Linked DNA regions of Cricetulus griseus. The protein of the gene in region 1 binds, or shares a complex with, the protein of each later gene. Links are inferred from orthologs where the notes say so. Each region holds a gene or a part of one and is shown in the gene's direction. Other genes may lie near its edges.

What was found. The genes of interacting proteins can lie anywhere in the genome.
Region 2: Smarcc2 (region 1) and Arid2 share a complex: the UniProt entries of both Homo sapiens proteins name them as parts of the SWI/SNF-B (PBAF) chromatin remodeling complex. The link is inferred for Cricetulus griseus from reciprocal best matches to the Homo sapiens genes SMARCC2 and ARID2.
Region 3: Smarcc2 (region 1) and Smarcd3 share a complex: the UniProt entries of both Homo sapiens proteins name them as parts of the BAF complex. The link is inferred for Cricetulus griseus from reciprocal best matches to the Homo sapiens genes SMARCC2 and SMARCD3.

Annotation. Positions count from the first base shown.
Region 1 is NW_023276806.1:129,432,075-129,437,879, reverse strand, and holds the start of Smarcc2 (SWI/SNF complex subunit SMARCC2), read left to right. Parts: upstream 1-2,250; 5' UTR 2,251-2,300; coding exon 2,301-2,411; intron 2,412-4,372; coding exon 4,373-4,492; intron 4,493-5,450; coding exon 5,451-5,536; intron 5,537-5,805. UniProt on the Homo sapiens protein: Involved in transcriptional activation and repression of select genes by chromatin remodeling (alteration of DNA-nucleosome topology).
Region 2 is NC_048595.1:392,708,886-392,714,647, forward strand, and holds the start of Arid2 (AT-rich interactive domain-containing protein 2), read left to right. Parts: upstream 1-1,714; 5' UTR 1,715-1,899; coding exon 1,900-1,991; intron 1,992-2,102; coding exon 2,103-2,196; intron 2,197-3,341; coding exon 3,342-3,439; intron 3,440-5,762. UniProt on the Homo sapiens protein: Involved in transcriptional activation and repression of select genes by chromatin remodeling (alteration of DNA-nucleosome topology). Required for the stability of the SWI/SNF chromatin remodeling complex SWI/SNF-B (PBAF).
Region 3 is NC_048601.1:97,911,080-97,917,150, forward strand, and holds the start of Smarcd3 (SWI/SNF-related matrix-associated actin-dependent regulator of chromatin subfamily D member 3), read left to right. Parts: upstream 1-2,023; 5' UTR 2,024-2,175; coding exon 2,176-2,253; intron 2,254-4,963; coding exon 4,964-5,175; intron 5,176-6,071. UniProt on the Homo sapiens protein: Involved in transcriptional activation and repression of select genes by chromatin remodeling (alteration of DNA-nucleosome topology).

The DNA of each region.
Region 1 (5,805 bases):
TCCTGTCTCTGCCTTCCAAGTGCTGGGATTAAAGACATGCACTAGATATGCAACTTCTCAAAAGACTGACAAGTGGTAGGCCCACTACACACTCATCCCTGAGAAAACTGAGCTGATTTAAAACATACTTAGAAGGGGGAATAAATAGAATTTGTTTTTTTGTGGAAAAAGAGATTCCCTGCAAGGTGGGTGTGATGACTCAAACATGTAATCTTGCAGTCAGAGCACCAAGTTAGAAAGACTGCCATGAGTTTGAGTTGCAGCAGGCCACCCTGAACTACAGTGAAACTGCCTCAAAAAGCAAACGAACAACTGACGGGTGGTGGCACACACCTTTAATCTCAGCTCTCAAGAGGCAGAGGCAGGTGGATCTCCGTGAGTTTGAGACCAGCCTGGTCTACAGAGCGAGTTTCAGGACAGCCAGGACTGTTACAGGAGAAACTTTGTCTCACAAAGCTAAACAAACAAAGCAAACAGAAAGATTCCTTGCATGAAACTCATTGGTGCTGGGATAGTGATAGGTTCCAGCTGGAGGACTAGCCTGTGGTATGCAGAGGACTTAGTGATGGGGGTGAGGCTAGACATTGTGCTAATCGGGGTGCCAGGGAAGCAGCGAGCCAGCCATATGAAGGTGGGAAACCCGTACCAACACATAGACAGCTCCATGAATTCGCAGAGCTCCTTCTCGGAGAAGATTGCGCTATGTAAGACATGAAATACAAAAAGAACAAGTAGCCTGCAAACACTAGGGAAGGTGAAAGGGTAAGAGGTTGAAAAGGACAAGTTTCCTAGTTTGGTTAATAATGTACATGGAGATTTTAACTTGTTTCTGGTACCTAACGTGTACTAATACCATCTGCAGTGGTTAAGTTTCAATAGGCCTCCTTCTAGGCCTGTTGTCATACCTGAAGTTAATCTCAAGAAATTTCAAATGTGGGCTAGGGAACACAACTCAACAGAGAATGCTTGCCTGGCATACACCTGAACCCCTGGATTCAGCAACAAGACATGAACCTGGTGTGTGTGAGCACACCTGTAACTCCAGCACTTGGAAACATAGGGCAGGAAGATCAGAAAAAAGTTCAAGGTAGTCTTAGCTACTGTCCAAGTTCAAGGGCAGTCTGGATACATGAGGTCCTGTCTCAAACTTAAACATCCAAATGAGGGAATGCTTGTTTCTCCGGTCTCCAGTGTCATAAGACTTCCATGTGTGACTTCTAGTCACAAATCTCCAAGACGCCCTCTTTCCCTAGAAATTTCACCACTAACTATCATTGCACAACACACACATTCCCAAACAAAACAAATCTTCACCCAAATCTTTCATTATCTCATGAATCGTTACAGATCTCTCAAACTGCCTGGTGACCTAGCAGCCAGAACAGCTGTGCATCGATCAGTTTCTATGTTACCCCCACCTAACCTAATGAAGCGATGCGATCTTTTCACTTCCACATTTAGATGGGGGTGGGGGGCTGGCGGGGGCGGAGGAAAAAAAAAAGGAACAGAGAATGTCGTCACGAACAGGATTCGAACCTGTGCGGGGAAACCCCATTGGATTTCGAGTCCAACGCCTTAACCACTCGGCCACCGTGACTCCCAAAACCATGCTCCGCCGCGCGCTTACAGAAAGGGTCCGGGCGGCGCCCGAGGGAGGCGCGTGCGACCCCGCAGCGGTGGCGGCCCCGAGGCGCACACCTGGAGCCGCTGCCTCCTATCCCGCCTGCCTGGCCCGGAAGGGTCGGGGGCTCCGGGCTCGCAAACCGATCCCTTAATCACAGACAGTCGGCAAAAAGACCGGAAAGTCAAACGGAGGGAAGAGACCCCCCTCCTCACCTGAGCCCCGACCCCCGGGGGATGCTGGGCGGCACCGGGACCCGGAGCGTCAGGAACACCCGTGGGGTCGAAAGCGGAATGGGAGGAGATGAAAGGGACTTATTGGAGGGAAGGGAGCGCGCATGATGGGGGCCACTCGGGGTTAGGGGCGGGCGGAGCTCCTGTAGACCGGGGTCCCCCATGGGGTCCCCACTCCCGCTGCGGGACCCCGGGGAGCAGCCGCCACCCACCCGCGAGCGAGGCTCGCCGCCACCGCCCCGGAGCCCGCTCGCTGTGGCCGCGTCGGGCCGGGCCGCCAGCAGGGGGCGCTCCCGCGGGCCGGGGCCGGCCCAGGCGGCGGGAGGCGGCGGCCGTGGCGGGGAGGCGGCGGCGGGAGGCGGGCGGAGGAGGAGGCGGGAGCTGAGCTGAGCTGAGCTGAGCGGGGCGGGCGGGCGGCGGCGGCGGCGGGGCCCGAGCCCGAGAAGATGGCGGTGCGGAAGAAGGACGGCGGCCCCAACGTGAAGTACTACGAGGCCGCGGACACCGTGACCCAGTTCGACAACGTGCGGCTCTGGCTCGGCAAGAACTACAAGAAGGTACGCCGGGCTGGCGGGCCGGGACAAAGGGCTCGCGGGCCGCGGCTCTCCCGGGGCCGGCCCACCCTCGGGCCGCCTCGCCTAGCCTCGCCTCGCCGCCCCGCGCCGCGCCGCGCCCCTCCCCGCGGCCTCCCCGCGCAGCGCAGCGCCGCGCCCCCTCCCCACCCCGCCCCCACTGTGCCCTCTGCCCGGGGCTCGCCCGGGGCTCGGGGCGGCGGCCCAGGGCCCGATCGCCCTCGCTCTCCCGGAGGCTAACCGGTCCAGAGCCGGCCACCCGGTCGGCCGGGTACCGCCGCGCGCCTCCTCTCCTCCGGTGTGCGAGCCGCGGTGTCTCCCCCACCCCCCGCGCCGGAGCTTCCCCGCCGAGCCAGGTACCGGCACGGCCCGGGCCTCCCTCCTCGGTGCTTTGTATCCGTCCAGAGACAGACGGAGAAAGCGGGAGGGTAGACAGGCACGGGACAGGCCGTGGGAAGCGTCTCTACCTGGGGGATCACCTGTCCCCCAGGCTTTATCCCCTTCCCTCCTCCTCGGGGGCCAGGGCATCGGGCCCCTTGGCTTCACAATAAAGTCGCTCTGCAACCCAGCCTAGCTAGCTAGCTAGCTAGCCAGCGTCGCTTGGGTTTTGAGGGCCAGAGGATAGGGTAAGCTTCATATCGCCAGTCCCCACCCCCACCCCGTAACTGGAAATAATAAGGGTGGTGAACAAAAGGGTTCAAGAAGCCCTACCTGTTTTTAAAAACATAGCAAACAACAACAACAACAACAAAAAAAAAACCCAAATCTCATTCTGGTGTTTTCATTGTCTCTAGGCTTTTTTTTTTTTTTTTCCTGGATATGGCCTGCTTCCTAGATACCCCTGCCTAAGGTTCCCCCCCCCACCACTTATTTTCTTTTACAGCCCCCAACTCTTCCTATCCCAGCTTTGCAACCTGTCAGAATACAGTGGTCAGCCTCAGAACTCTCCACTAACCCTGCTTTGAGTTGGGGTCTCTATGGGTGTCAAGACTCTTGACAAACAGCTGTTGGGTCTGTGACTCCTGTGTGTACCCCCAGCATGAGGTTCTGCTTCCCAGTCTGCTTTTGACCTTTTGAAGGGAGACCAGACAAGGGTCTTAGTCTATCGCCCCAAGGGGATTGACAGCTGTGACCCGATTCAGCTTTCAAGTGCTGAACTCTTTGTCATCTACTTCTCCCTTCACAGATCTTTTGACACCTCCCACCGAGAGAGGTCTGACTCTGATTAGGGTAGAGGAAATAAGGGTCAAAAGGTAAAGAGAAAATTAGTTCCTTGGATCAGTGAACAAAACAGAAAGGTAGGATTCCAGGTAGCACCATAGGGAAATGCTTGAGGTCATTGTTTCCTCAGAAAAGGATAGGTAGATGTCGGGCTTCCTACTTATCCTCAGGCCCGGTGGGTGGTCTGCCCTCCTTGCTAGAGAGGAGACCCTACAATGACAATCATGTCAGGTTTCAGTGGAAGCAAAATGTACAGGCTTAGTTTTGAAGTTAGATTGCCCTGCCTCTCTTCTTTGCTCTCTTAAGATACCATTATGGGTGGAAGCCTGGTCTTTTATCGTGTTCCCCCAAGAAATACATTGTTGTGTCACTTAGAGCCTCAAAGGGATTTTTGTTGCCTTGCCTTGAACTTCATAAAGCTTCAAGATTTTAACTGTTTGCTGGGGATGAGGTGACCAGCTATCAGGGTGTTGTGCAATGCCAGCATTGGGGTGCAGCTAAATAAGAGTGCAAAGTGTTCCTTGCTGTCTGTCCCCAGTGCTGGCAACCTGGGCTACTGACAGTAAAATGCAGGAGCTGCTAGAGCCCTTTTGATATAGACAGACAACGTGGAGGAGAAAGGCACAACTCTGTCCCAGGTGCTTCCAAGAACACAGGGAAAAGAAACGGGAGGTGGTAGAGAGCGTGTCTAGAATCTGTTTCTCTTCCTTTCCCTTCTTCCTCAGTACATACAAGCAGAACCACCGACCAACAAGTCCCTGTCTAGCCTGGTTGTGCAGTTGCTCCAGTTTCAGGAAGAGGTTTTTGGCAAGCATGTCAGCAATGCACCCCTTACTAAACTGCCGGTGAGTGCAAGGGACGAATCCTCCAAACTGGAAAGGGAGTTTTTGTTGTTTTGCTTTAAATTTTCTTTTCCTAGTACACAGAATCCCAGAATTAGGGTGGTTGAGGCAGGAGAATCAAAAGTTGGAGGCCAAACTGATTTACATAGCAGTTCTGATACTGTGTCCCATGTTATGAGACCCTGTCTCAAAAGAAAAAATAAATTCATCTTGTTTCTCTTCAAATTTCGTAATTTTGGTAGGTTTATTTCCTACAGTAATTGTCGTCATTAGTAGTCAGGGCATTACAGCTTGAACTAGTCCCCAGCTGGCTATTCCTGTTATTTTAGAAAACCCCTGTGCCACAAGTAATCTGAGAATATGGGGTTTAGTCCTCTGGTGTGTCTCTCATGGTTATGGTTTAAAAGGGTATGACATTTGGGAGCAGGAGAGATGGCTCAGTGGTTAAGAGCACTTGCAGAGTATCTGGGTACCATTACTAGTACCCACATGGTGGCTTATACCTCCAGGGATTCTTTTTTGTTGTTGTTTTGTTTCTCGAGACAGGGTTTCTCTGTGTCTTTGGAGGCTGTCCTGAACTAGCTCTTGTAGACCAGGCTGGCCTTGAACTCACAAGAGATCCGCCTGCCTCTGACTCCCAAGTTCTGGCATTAAAGGCATCAGCCACCAATGCCTGGCTGTTTGCTTTTTAAGACAGTGTCCTGGCAGGCAATGGTGGCTGATGTCTTTAATCCCAGAACTTGGGAGGCAGAGGCAGGCAGATTTCTTGTGAGTTCGAGGCCAACCTGGTCTACAAGAGCTAGTTCAGGACAGCCTCCAAAGACACAGAGAAACCCTGTTTCAAAAAAACAAACAAAACAAAACAAAACATTTGAGAAGGAGATGAGTTCAGAGTGGGATTTTTGTGGCAGGTTTTTATTTACAATGTAACTCACACTTCTTCCTGGTCTCTATTTTGTAGATCAAATGTTTCCTAGATTTCAAAGCAGGAGGATCCCTGTGCCACATTCTGGCAGCTGCCTACAAATTCAAGAGTGACCAGGGATGGTGAGATGCCTTCTCTCTGCTGTTCATGTTTAGTTTAAAGAAAATTCCCAGTGTTTCCTGGGGTCCTTCTGAAGCCAGAGGACGCATTAGAAATCCTATGTGTCTTTTATTTTGATAGATCAGAAAAATAGATGGCATAGCCAGAACAGTCCCCAAGAACCAGTGTGTCTGGGAAGAGGGTTTTTAGGTTGGCATCTCAAACTTTGTCCTTTTGATTTAACACATAGAGTGAATCATGCAGTTGTGACTTGGGCAAAATTTGTGACAAT
Region 2 (5,762 bases), on another chromosome or scaffold:
TTTCCTAGCCACACCTTATTCCGACCCCATTTAAGACATAAACTTTACTGGGGAAATAAATCCGTTTCCTAGAGTGAGTACCGGAAGCGTGCTTCACCGTATTACATAATTTTTTTCTTTGCCGCCACCCAATCCATGTGCCATTGGAAAGACTACCCGAAATAAACCCGTGCACACTCTTACTATCCTGTGACCTTGGGCTAGTGACTTTGCCAGTAGTGGCTGTCTCTAAAATGGGAATGCTAACACACTGAGGAAACATGATGCTCGACGAGGGAGGGCTCCAACATCTTCGTCAATGCAAATTTGGGTGTTATTTGTTGAGAGAAAATTTTGAATTCCCTTTTTTACACATTTAAGGACCGCTACGGAAAATGGCAAGGGGAAACGTTTTGCCCTCTATTTTAAGATATTAGTGCCAAATATAAACGTTATCCTCAAAGTTCTAGAGGTGGTTTCTTAACCGGCGCGGTGACTGTTGGCATCAACTCCGGTTCGGTGCACGAAACCGACCGAGGGGCGAGACGAATTCAGAGCCTTACTCTCATCTCCACAAAAGTAGGGCAGACAATTCACACCGTGTGTGCTCCACAGTTTGTCAAAATGAGTTTTTTGGTCACACCGTGGAAAATGTGCTCCTCGGGCCCCAGTCTGGTAGCATAAAGCCGAGAGGCCGATCCCTCCCGCCCTAAACATTTGCAGAGGCTGCGAGAGGACTTTCCCCGGGAGGCGAGGGCTGCGCCGGGGCGAGCCGCTGGCCCTCGGTGCGGCGGGAGGCCCGGCGGGGGGACACGGAGGCCGCTCTGCCACAGCCCCGGCCGCCGGGGACGCGCACATCGCCTCCACCCCTCACCCTGGAAGAACCGGTAGTGGCCGTTTCCCCGCGCCGCCCCCGCCCCCCTTTCCGCCCGCTTTGTGTGCGTGTGAAATGTGCTGCACATTGCAGATGAACCCTAAGCCGGGCGAGCCGGAGTCTATTGTTCCCCGCGAGGAGCAGCCGCGACCGTGTGGAGCCAGGCGCAGTGCCGCGGCCGGCCCTCGGGGGGCGCTGTGCGGCGCTGTCGTGCGAGCGGCCCGGCCGTGGCGGCGGCGGCTGAGAGCGAGACTGGCGGCCAGGCAGGCAGGCCGGCGCGGCGGCGCGCAGCGGCTCGGCTGCCGCCGGAGCCTGTGCCGGGGGACGCCGGGCCGCCGTGGCCACCGCCGTCTCCGCCGCCGCGCGCGTGAATGTGTGCGAGGCCCCGCGGAGCCGCGCGCCGGATCCACGCTGTCACCCCGCTCTCCACAAGCCACCACACAGACCTCCCCCTCCCACGCGGCCCCGCCTGCCCCGGCCCCCGCGCTGCCGCCGCCCGCCGCCGCGCGCCGCCGCCGCCGCCGAAACTCCCAGGCCTGCGGCCACCCGGGCCCCTCGCCTCCGCTCGCCCGGCCCCGGCGCCTCGTGCGCCCCCCGGCCGCAGCACCATGTTGAATCGCGTCCCGGGCCGAGCCGCCAGGGCCGGCGGCGCTGAGAGGCGGCCAGAGCCGGGCCGCGGGGGCGGCGAGGCAGGGGGGGCGCTCGCCCCGCGGCTCCGCGCCCGGCCGGCGCCCGTCGCCTTGCCCCTCTAGTTTCGCTCCCGTTTCTTTAAACTTTTTTAGAAATTCCCCTCCCTCCGGCCCTGCGCTCCCCCTGGCCTCCCGCTCCCTCCTTCCCTCCTCTCGCCTCCTCCCCCTCCTCCTCCCTCCCTGCGCCGCCGCCGCCGCCGCCGCCGCCGCGCCGCCGCCGCCACCGCCGGCCCATGACTGAGCCCCGCCACCGGCGGCCGAGGAATGGGCTCCGGGCGCTGGTAGGGAGCGCGGGGAGCGGGGGCCGCGTCTGAAGCGCGATCTGGCTTTTCGGAAGCCCTTCCTTTTGGCAAAATAATGGCAAACTCGACGGGGAAGGCGCCTCCGGACGAGCGGAGGAAGGGACTGGCTTTCCTGGACGAGCTGCGGCAGTTCCACCACAGCAGAGGGTGAGAGCAGGACCCGGGGGGGCGAGCGCCGGGGCGAGCCGGGGCGAACGGGGCCCCGCGGCGGGCGCGGGGGGTCCCGGTGACAAGTGCGGGGCTTTCTGTCGCCCGCAGGTCGCCGTTTAAGAAGATCCCTGCGGTGGGTGGGAAGGAGCTGGATCTTCACGGGCTCTACACCAGAGTCACTACTTTAGGCGGATTCGCGAAGGTGAGTGGAAGTTTTAATTTGTATTTCCCTCTCGCTGGCCTGCTCCGAAAAGTCTGCTCCGGCCCGGGAGCGGGCGCCCCGGGGGCCGGGGAGGGGGGGGGCGACCGGCGGGGCACACGGCGTTCTCGGCGCTCGCAGCCGGCGGTGGCACGGAGGCGGCCCGGCGGCGGCAGGGGCTGTTTTTCGGCCTGGTGGCTCGCTCGCTCGCTCGCGTGCGCGCGGCGGGGCGCGGGGCTGGGCGGGCTGGGCGGGCGGCCCGGCGGCCCGGCGGCCGGGAAAGCGCCCCCGGCCCGGTGTCCGGCCGGCCCCCGCGGGGTCTGAGCGGCGCGGCGGGGGAGCGCGGGCGAGCAGGGTGCCCGCCCGCCGAACCCCGCGCCCGCCCGCGCCCGCTTGCCCGCTCGCTCGCCGCCTGCGAGTCAGCGCCGCCGCCGCGCCGCCGCCGCCGCCGCCGCTGCCGCTCTAGCACAGGCGGAGACACAGAGACACACAGACTCTGAGCAGTTTTCGTGCAACTCAAAATTAGCGCGGGCAGGTTTAACATCGATAATCGGCTGCGAAATGATCCCGGCGGCCGGGGGCACAGGCTCGGCCCGCTCGCCCTGGCTTTCCACAGCTAACAAAAGAAAGCAGGACCTGTCTGCAAATAGCCATCTTAGGCTTCAAGGCTAGGCAGAAGCTGTAGGCCTCAAAGAAGGGCCTATGGAGATGGAGAGATCTGGGAGAGGGATCGGAGTCGGGCCCCGGCCCCGGCCCCCCCAGAGCTCGCGGACGTCGCTGTCCGGAGCAGTATTGATCCTTTTGAACTTTTTTTTTCTTCTTCTTTAGTGTAAACGGACCGCGTTGAGATTTAAAAGGGGGCGACAGAGGGACTTGCGATTGGTTATTGTCCGGGCTTCAAAAACAAAACAAACCCACCAATCCTCTCCCCCCCAAACAAAACAAGTGCTGCTAAATGCAGGTCTCTCTGATGAAAACCTAGTGATTCAGGCGGCCCTGGCTTAGTAACTCTTGTGGACAGACCCCAGACACCCACTGATACCTTAGGTATCTGCAGATCTCTGCAGAATGGGAATTTAGCTCCCAAGTTAGGGTAGGTTTTTCTTGGATTGGGCACTTTCAGACAAGTGTGCCTGTGTTTTTAACAGGTTTCTGAGAAGAATCAGTGGGGAGAAATTGTTGAAGAGTTCAACTTTCCCAGAAGTTGTTCTAACGCTGCCTTTGCTTTAAAACAGTATTACTTGCGGTGAGTAGTGGTGACTTTTCCACAGTATTTGGAAATGAGGGACTTAAGGGCGATTAAACAACAACAAAATTTATGCTCTAAACAATTTCCAACCCCTTGGTAATTTCAGTCTGAGAAGCATTGACTGTCAAAAAAGGGAGATGATAGGAGGCTGAAGTTTTCCTCACCTTAAAACACGGCCATTTACATTTTCCATACAAAGTCATTACAGGTGACAACCCATGTCCTGTCTTGTAAACATTCTTTTGTGACATTGTTATTGACTGCTTGATAGTCACTGAGGGCCAGAAAAGATGATGCTTAGTAAAAGTCTTAAGATACTTAATGAAACTTTGTAACCTGTGGGAAGATTTGTCTTTCTTCTTTTTCTTCTTTGGAAACTCCTTAACCCTCTACAATTCTGGTTTTCGGAATTTCTTTTTTTAAAGGAAAAGTATTGGAACTGTTATTCAGTGCGTTTTCAATGGAATATTTTTACATAAATAATACAATGTAGATACATTGGTTGACCAGGGTTACTTTTTTGGACTCTTGTTACTGAATTTCTGAGAAATTTGAAAATATTCAGCATCTTTAGGAAAATGGGGGTGGTGTGAAGCCAGGTACTATGGTTGGGATTTTCTTCCATTTTCCCTTGCATTTTGACTGCTTACTCAAAAAAGTAAACTTCTTACTGAGTTGGTATATGCTTTAGTCTAGATAATGTATTTTGTGACTTTTAGGATTTTTTTTTCCTCCTAGATTTCCTTTTATAGATCCTTTCATATTGTACTTTGTTTTGGAGTCGGTATTTGTATTTGATTACCCAGTGTTCTTAGTAATTTAAAATTAAAATAATGATCTCAATAGTTCCTTCTAATAAGTATTGGTAATGGTGATATCATAAGATAGCCTTTATTTCATTTTTGTAAAATGTAGCTTCTGTATAATTTGAGTCTTGTATTGCTCCAAATGCACTAGTTACTCTGTATAGCGCTCAGGATTCTGACATAGGAAACAGGGTAATTGCACAGGTGTACTTCCTATTGGCTGCCTTAGATTGACTTCAGACTTGACGCTGAAGAGTTCACAGATCTTGTCAGTTACTAGTTCTATATGAACTCAAGAAAATACCAGGTGTGTGTGTGTGTGTGTGTGTGTGTGTGTGTGTGTGTGTGTGTGTGAGTGTGTATACATGTCAGAGTATCTTTTAAATAAAAGAATAAATTAAAAACAGCTTCCCAAGCCGTTGATTTAGTAATAAAATGAGAAATAAGAACTTAATACTTATAGTGATAGTCACTTGATTATTTCTGGTTTGGATAGTAAGAGGATCTGAGAGAATCATGCTAATACATGCTAGGGCTTTGTGCTAATCAATTTAAAACATTTGTATATTTAAATTGTATATTTTAAAGTTATGCCTAGTATTTTTTAAGTTTCTAGATTAAATTTCTGTGTTCAATTCTGAATGGTATATGTGACTGGTGAGATGTGTATTTTTCTGTAAAATTTGCATTCCTATTAACAAACAGCATAATTAATGAAATACTTGGACTTCTTTTCTTTTACAAAGTTTATTTATAAGTATTTTGTTTCTTGCTGTCTTTTCTATCTTGGGATTATGCCAAATAGTAATTGTACTTATAGGTAGTCTTTTTTAACCAGATACTTTCAAAGTTGTTTTAAGTATTTACATTGTTCTTAGGTCAACTTGGGCCTTATGTTCTTATTAGAAGCTGCTTTAAACTATGTCCTTAGCTAAACTTGTGTTCCTCCATATGTCACTCTCCAGGTTTGCTTTTGTAGGGCTGTAGCTAGGCTACTGAGAAAAAGTTAAAGCATTTTGTTTTGGAAAATAAAACCAAGTGAAGATTTGCATGACTTGCAAAGAAATAGGATGATCAAAAATTGGGTACTACCAACCTTGATAGAATTTTCCCTAGTGATATATTCTACAATTAGAGGATATGTGTTGTGTTCTACACTTTCCTCTAAAAAAACCGAATTGGCAGACCAGATGCCAAACTCTAATAGTAATTCTCTTAGTTAACCATAACAGTGCCTTCTCAGTAAGAAATGGTAATGAAGTGATTGATAAGTTAGCTCTGCTCTATCTGATTTAATACCAGGGTTTCTGAGAAAGAAGATCATGCCTTGTGTTTTGGTGGGTTTCTTTTGTTTTCAGCTATGTACTATTCTCTCCAAGTCATAAATTGGAGAGATTGACTTCAGATTTGATGCTGAAGAGTTCACAGAACTTGGCAGTTACTGAGGTCCATAGGAACTCTAGAAAATAATAAGGCATGGGTATGGTGTGTGTGTGTGTGTGTGTGTGTGTGTG
Region 3 (6,071 bases), on another chromosome or scaffold:
TGTCTACCCCATTCCCAGAACCTTGGAGGAGGCCTGGTCCCAGGCCCGGCTAGAAGTAGAGGTAGGGGTAGCACAAATCTTCAGGTATATGCCAGAGCACCAGCTGCACCCACTGGCCTAGGTTAGGCTTTTCTCGGCTTTGGTGTTACAGAGTTCCTGTACCCAGGCCTGGGGAAAACATGGGCCCAAGGCCAGGTTCTGCCCTCAGGAGTCACAAACCCAAATGCACCTGAAGCAAAGGACACCTGAGGCATTAGTCCAGCCCAGTTTATGGACAAGATAGTGATACCGGACGTTTGGAGAAGACTAAGATGTATTCCCATGAGTGAGGCCAGGAACCAGGGTCTGACCTGGGTCTTAAAGGGTGAGTGTGATGGGCCAGGCAGAGGGCAAGTGGAGGCATTACACGGTGGCAGAAGAGCCTCAAGGCTAGCAGATGAGGGAGGGTTCCCACGCAGATCATCACTAGAGCTACCTTTATAGCCCTGGCTGCTGGTCAGCCCACCGTGAACCAGTGTCTGCCACACCATCTGAACAAGGCGTTCTCTCTAAACCTTTCACAGTGACAGTGGGCGCCTGAAAGGGCAATGACAGCTAGGCACACTAGCAGGACCTGCAGGAAACTAAGGTGCTGGCCCAAAAGACTCCTGGGAGAACATTCCCTCTGTTGCTTGTCCTGGCCAATGAAGACATTCTGCAGGGCCAAAGGTTAGGCCCCCTCCGTGCAATGCTGGGTCCTGAGGGCTCAAATTTTAATGTGTTCCCACAAATTCCCTCAGGCCTTGTCCCTCCCTCATCCTAGTTCTGACAGCTGCCGTCCCAGGAAGCCCATAAGTGTGACCCTTAGTTGTCCCAAAGCCTGCGGGCTCCTCCTCCAGAAGGTGGGAACAGGCGTGGCTTCTGGCATGGGCGGGGCCTGAGCTCAGCCTAGGGATCTCCTTTCTGTTCTCCCTCCACTCGGGGGTCGGCCAGTTCTCTCCCTACGGTCCTTTCCGGGGCTCCCTCATCCTCTCCCACTCCACACTCCTGCTTTCTCTTCGGTCCTGGAGCGGACCTCAGCCCCCCAGCCCCCCTGGGTCTCCATGCCAGAGCCACCAAACCTTGTTTGCTCACTCTTTCCTCCTTACCCACCCAAGTACGCATCCCGGCTCGGCACGATTCCCCACACTCACTCTTCCTGTGCTCAGGAGCCCAGTCCATGTCCCCTTTTCGGAAAGACTTTCCCCGGTTGCCCTCACTTTCCCACACAGAGGCAAACAAAGACTCACGAGCCCAGAAATAGCCTCCCTCCGAGCTGGAAGGCACAGGCCGTGTCCTGCCCCGCGCGCACGCACGCTCGCACGCTCGCACGCGCAGGCACGGCGGCTCCCGTGGAGGGAGCACACCGGTGCCCGCACATAAACATCCACACCCTCGGCCGCTGCGCCGAGCCACAAAAGGGTGCAGACACGCGGAGCGCGAGGCACGGGCACACCCACGGCGGCCGGCCCTGGACGGCTGCAAGGCCCGCTCCCGGCTCGCCCGCCCCCCCGCCCCCGGATTCCTTCCAGCAAATGTTTCCCTACTTGGCCTGCCCGGTCCCTGGGGAAAGGGCCTCAGAAATGCTGCAGGAGCCACTTGGGGGAAGAAAGTTGGAACTGCCCGTTCTCTGCCTGGCCCTGCCGGCGAATTCCCCAACCGAGAAACTGTTTGTGGAGAAAGAAGGCAGGGTGGCGGGCAAGCCCCCCCCCGTCCCCTCCCTAGACTGTCCCTCCCCGTGCCGCCACCGGCGAGCCTCCGGCGGCCTGGGCGCTCGCTGCCCGCCTCGCAGCCGCTGGGCGGACCGGCCTGGCTCGCCGCGTCTCTGCGCCGTTTGGACCACGCGGGTGCACGGGAGGGCTGCTGTGTCCCCGCGCGTCGCAGGCAGACCCCGGGCCGCCGGACTATTTCTGTCTTATCAGTGCAGGAATGCGGCAGCCGCGGCGGCGGCGGCGGGCGGCGGCGGCGGGCGGGCGGCGGCGGCTTGGGCCGTGGGCCGTCAGGGCAGCCCTGAAGGGGCCCCCTCCCCACTCCGCTCGAGTAGAAGTGTGAGAGAGCCCAGCAGGACTCAGAGGGGAGAGTTGGAGGAAAAAAAGGCAGAAAAGGGAAAGAAAGAGGAAGAGAGAGAGAGTGAGAGGAGCCGCTGAGCCCACCCCGATGGCCGCGGACGAAGTTGCCGGAGGGGCGCGCAAAGCCACGAAAAGCAAACTTTTTGAGTTTCTGGTCCATGGGGTGGTGAGTGGGGGAAAGTTAGCGGGGGAGGGCGAGCGAGCTGGCTCGGGCTGAATGGAGGGATGATCGGGAAGGGCCGCCGGCGCGCTCCCGCTCTCCCACCCCTTTGGTTGGGGGGCGCACGGTCACGGCCCAACCCTGGGACCTTGCCGGCGCCCTGGCATCCGAACACGTCGCCAAGCGGTCGGCTGGGGATGGGCGCGCGGCGGCAGGGAAGAGAGGCGTCGGCTTGGGCTCTTGTCAGGGGCAAGGGGTGGGATGTGGGCACCGTGCCCCCCAAGAGGTGGGTCCCCTCTGTAGCTGACACGTCGCCCGTTCTTTTTTACTGGTGGGCCCAGGTGTTACCCCTGCCCTGGGGTGGGGGTGGGGTGGCGACTGGAACACACAACTAGGGTTGGGCTGCCTGTTGTCCTGTTCATCCACAGGGGCAGTGTCACTCTGACTGGGTCTGAGGAACTAGGAGCAGGTGACCCTGGAGGCACCTGAGAGCAAAAGCTCCCTGGCTGAGCAACCTCTGCAGCCTAGCAGGAGGGTCCTGAGGACTTGGCCCTGCTGTCAGAGCTAAGAGAGGCCTACTTAAGAGATGGACCCCAAGTTAAAGGGGTCAGGGGATCCCTTGGCAGGCTCAGCCACCAGAAGTTGATGACCTTAATACCTCAAAGGTGTGAAGGGATGGAGTTGGGGACATGAGGCCTAGAGATCAAAGGGTTAACACTATAGTGTCCTGCCACAGACATGTGAAGGCACACGAGGGACCTGAGGGTTCCAGGGACCTGAGGAGGGAGATGACTGGGTTGAGTCAGTGGAGAGCCTGGCTGTAAGGCGCTCCAGGCTTGGGGATATGTGATAGAGGGAAAAATCAGTCAAATTTACTATGGCCAAATTTGGTTGTGACTCCAAGAAGCACCTCCTCAGTGAAAGAGGCAAGGGCCCCCAAAACCTTGACCTCTTGTGATTGTGGTGCTGGTGGCAGAGCCCCTGGAAGCCCCTTCCTCTCAGTAAACCAGACAGTGTGGGTGGCCTTGATGAGTAGCAGGGCAGCTGATAGGGAGGAGGGCTTCCCTGTGGCAGCCTGCCCTCTAGCCACAGGGATCTCTGGGGTGCAGTTCCCAAGGCAGTCCTGTGGGTTAGTGGAGTTACCAGTCCTAACCTAGCTGCCTGGGGGAGTTGCTTTACAGAGTCCCATTCAGTGAAGAGGAGGCTGCCCATGTGGATTTGAATATGGCCAACTTGGAGGGTCAGTCCTTGAGTGATCAAGGCCCCCTTATTAGTAGTGGGGAATGACTAGGCCTGGCCTTCCACCCTGGTGGCACTGGTGGTATGAGTGACAGAGTCAGGTGGAATGGGGGAGGCAAACTCAGGAACTGGCCGGTTACACTACAGAAGAGATGGCCAGGGACAGCTGCTGGTAGAGGGTGGTAGAGGGTGGAGACCTTTGGTCTGAGCAGTCGGGGTTTCTTGGTTCTGGGGTGAGATGAGGAGTATTTTGTATTTGTTTATTGTGTATTGAGGCAGGGTCTCCTGTAGCCTAGGCCTCGAACTCACTATATAAGGGAAGATGGTCTTGCTCTTTCTGTCCCCACCTTGAGATTGGGATTACAAGTGCAGTTTCTTTGGTGCTGGGAATCGAACCCTGGGCTTCACATGTATTGGGCAAGCACTACACCAAGCTACATCCCTAGCCTGAGATGAGGGTGTGTAAATAGTAGGGTCTGCACCCCCACATCACCTCCTTGTTCCTGGTTAGCCCCTAAACCTCAACTCCCTTTCCAGGCCTGGACAAGTGGACTCTGGAACACCCCGCTTGCGTTTACACCTCTTCTGTTTTGATTGACTGCCCAGAGGTGGTGGCTGGGGAAATACAACCTGCCTCATTTCCCTCCAATTTGTACCCTTACTAGGATGGGGTGGGTACTGGGTTCTCTCTCTGATGTAGGCAGATGGGAGGGAGATGTGGCTTCCTTCAACCATCCCTGCCCTCTGGCAGCCCACTTCTAGTCCAGTTCCCCACTTGCCACTCGGAAAAGCTCAGACCCTCGGGTGCCTTTGCCCAGCCTCTTGTATCACCTTGGGAGAAATGAAATTAAGGAGGCAGACTAAGTCAGAGACCTGGAGTCAGCTGAAGGGGTTATTTGAACACCAAGGGTCCAAACCAGGGGTGCTGAAAGGGAGATGGGGGCTCACATACAAAGCCCCAGAAGTGGGCTGTAGAAAGCAGGAAAGCAGCGGGGAGCAAGGCCCGTCAAGGTGCTGCCTTTGTCGGGATGAACGGGGTGACCTTGGCGAGGTCGCTTTTTCTCTTTGAGCCCCAGTTGCCCCATCTGTCAATTGGGGATAAAAAAGACCGGCTCTGGCTGGCTTGCAGAAGACCGTGCCTGCCGATGTGAACATCCTTTGAAAGGTTGAAAGGCGCCATTAATATTCATTTTTGCGGTACCTTGCACGGCTCCGAGGCTCGGCTATGCCCTGGGCAATTGCCTGGCTTCAGTTAGCTTCCTGCAAGGAGCCGGCGAGCCCCCTCCTCCAGAGCCACGCAGATTCCCGCGCCCCCGCCCCTCCCACAATCACTCCCACTCCTCGCTCAGCGCAGGGTTACCAGCCCCGGGTCTTGGAGAGGGGCGGGGACACAGCACGCTGGCCTGGGGGTCGGGACCGAATCTGACCTGTCGGCGCCGGTTTCTGCTTCACCTCCCGCCCCACCCCACCCCCCCAGCGCCCCGGGATGCCGTCTGGAGCCCGAATGCCCCACCAGGGGGCGCCCATGGGCCCCCCGGGCTCCCCCTACATGGGCAGCCCCGCCGTGCGACCCGGCCTGGCCCCCGCGGGCATGGAGCCCGCCCGCAAGCGAGCAGCGCCCCCGCCCGGGCAGAGCCAGCCACAGGGCCAGGGCCAGCCTGTGCCCACCGCCCCCGCGCGGAGCCGCAGGTGAGTGCCCCCCCACCGGCGTGGAAGGGCGTGCAGGGGCGGGCAGGCAGAAGCCTCGGGGACCAGGTGGGTGAGTGATGGGTGTGGGAAGCTGAGGAAGGGTGTTAGCAGCGACCAAGTCATTCTGACTTGGATACTCTCTGGGGAGGGCTTGGGGGCACTGGTCTGGTTCTTTTGTGTGCCCACACTGGAGACAGACTGCGACAGTCAGCTGCCAGTGTCCCCTCTCTCACGCACCCCTTGCTCTCCTGCTTGTCACTTGCTAAATCCTTTTTCACATCCCTTACCCCAAGTTCTGGATGACGCTTCAGGCTTTGGGGAGAGGCAGGGCTGGCAGTAAACTGAGGGCTGAGCTTTAGCTGTGTGTTTGCTGAAGTGTGGTCCTCTGGTACCTCCCTGCCAGTCCGGAGTCCCGAATCTCCCTCTAGACCTCCACAGTCCCTATCTTGGCAGTGGGCGTGAATAGACGTTATAGTCCCTCTGAGGGACCAGATCTGCCCTCAGGCCACCGGACCAGCTTATTTGTCTGAGAAGTTGGTGACACTACCATGGCCCCTGCTGACTGTTGGCAAGATCCCTATGGGCATCAGTATTTAGCCAAACACACATGCTCCCTTTTGCACAACAGATGGGTTCTTATACAAGGTGTAATACCAATTTTACCTCATTATTAAGTTATTAGCTTTTACACATCAAGGAAAATCATTTATAGGCATCCCATGATAAATTCTTTTACAAAGTGAACCATTATCTTGTTTAGTAAATAACTCTTTGATTTGTTGTGTTTAAGAGCCTTGTGTGGACAATTTATTTGAAATCCTTTCATGAGAGGCTTGCCCAGCCTAAGAATGGGTTGTTTTTTTTCTTTAATGAGTTGCTTGCCTGTCCATAGAATG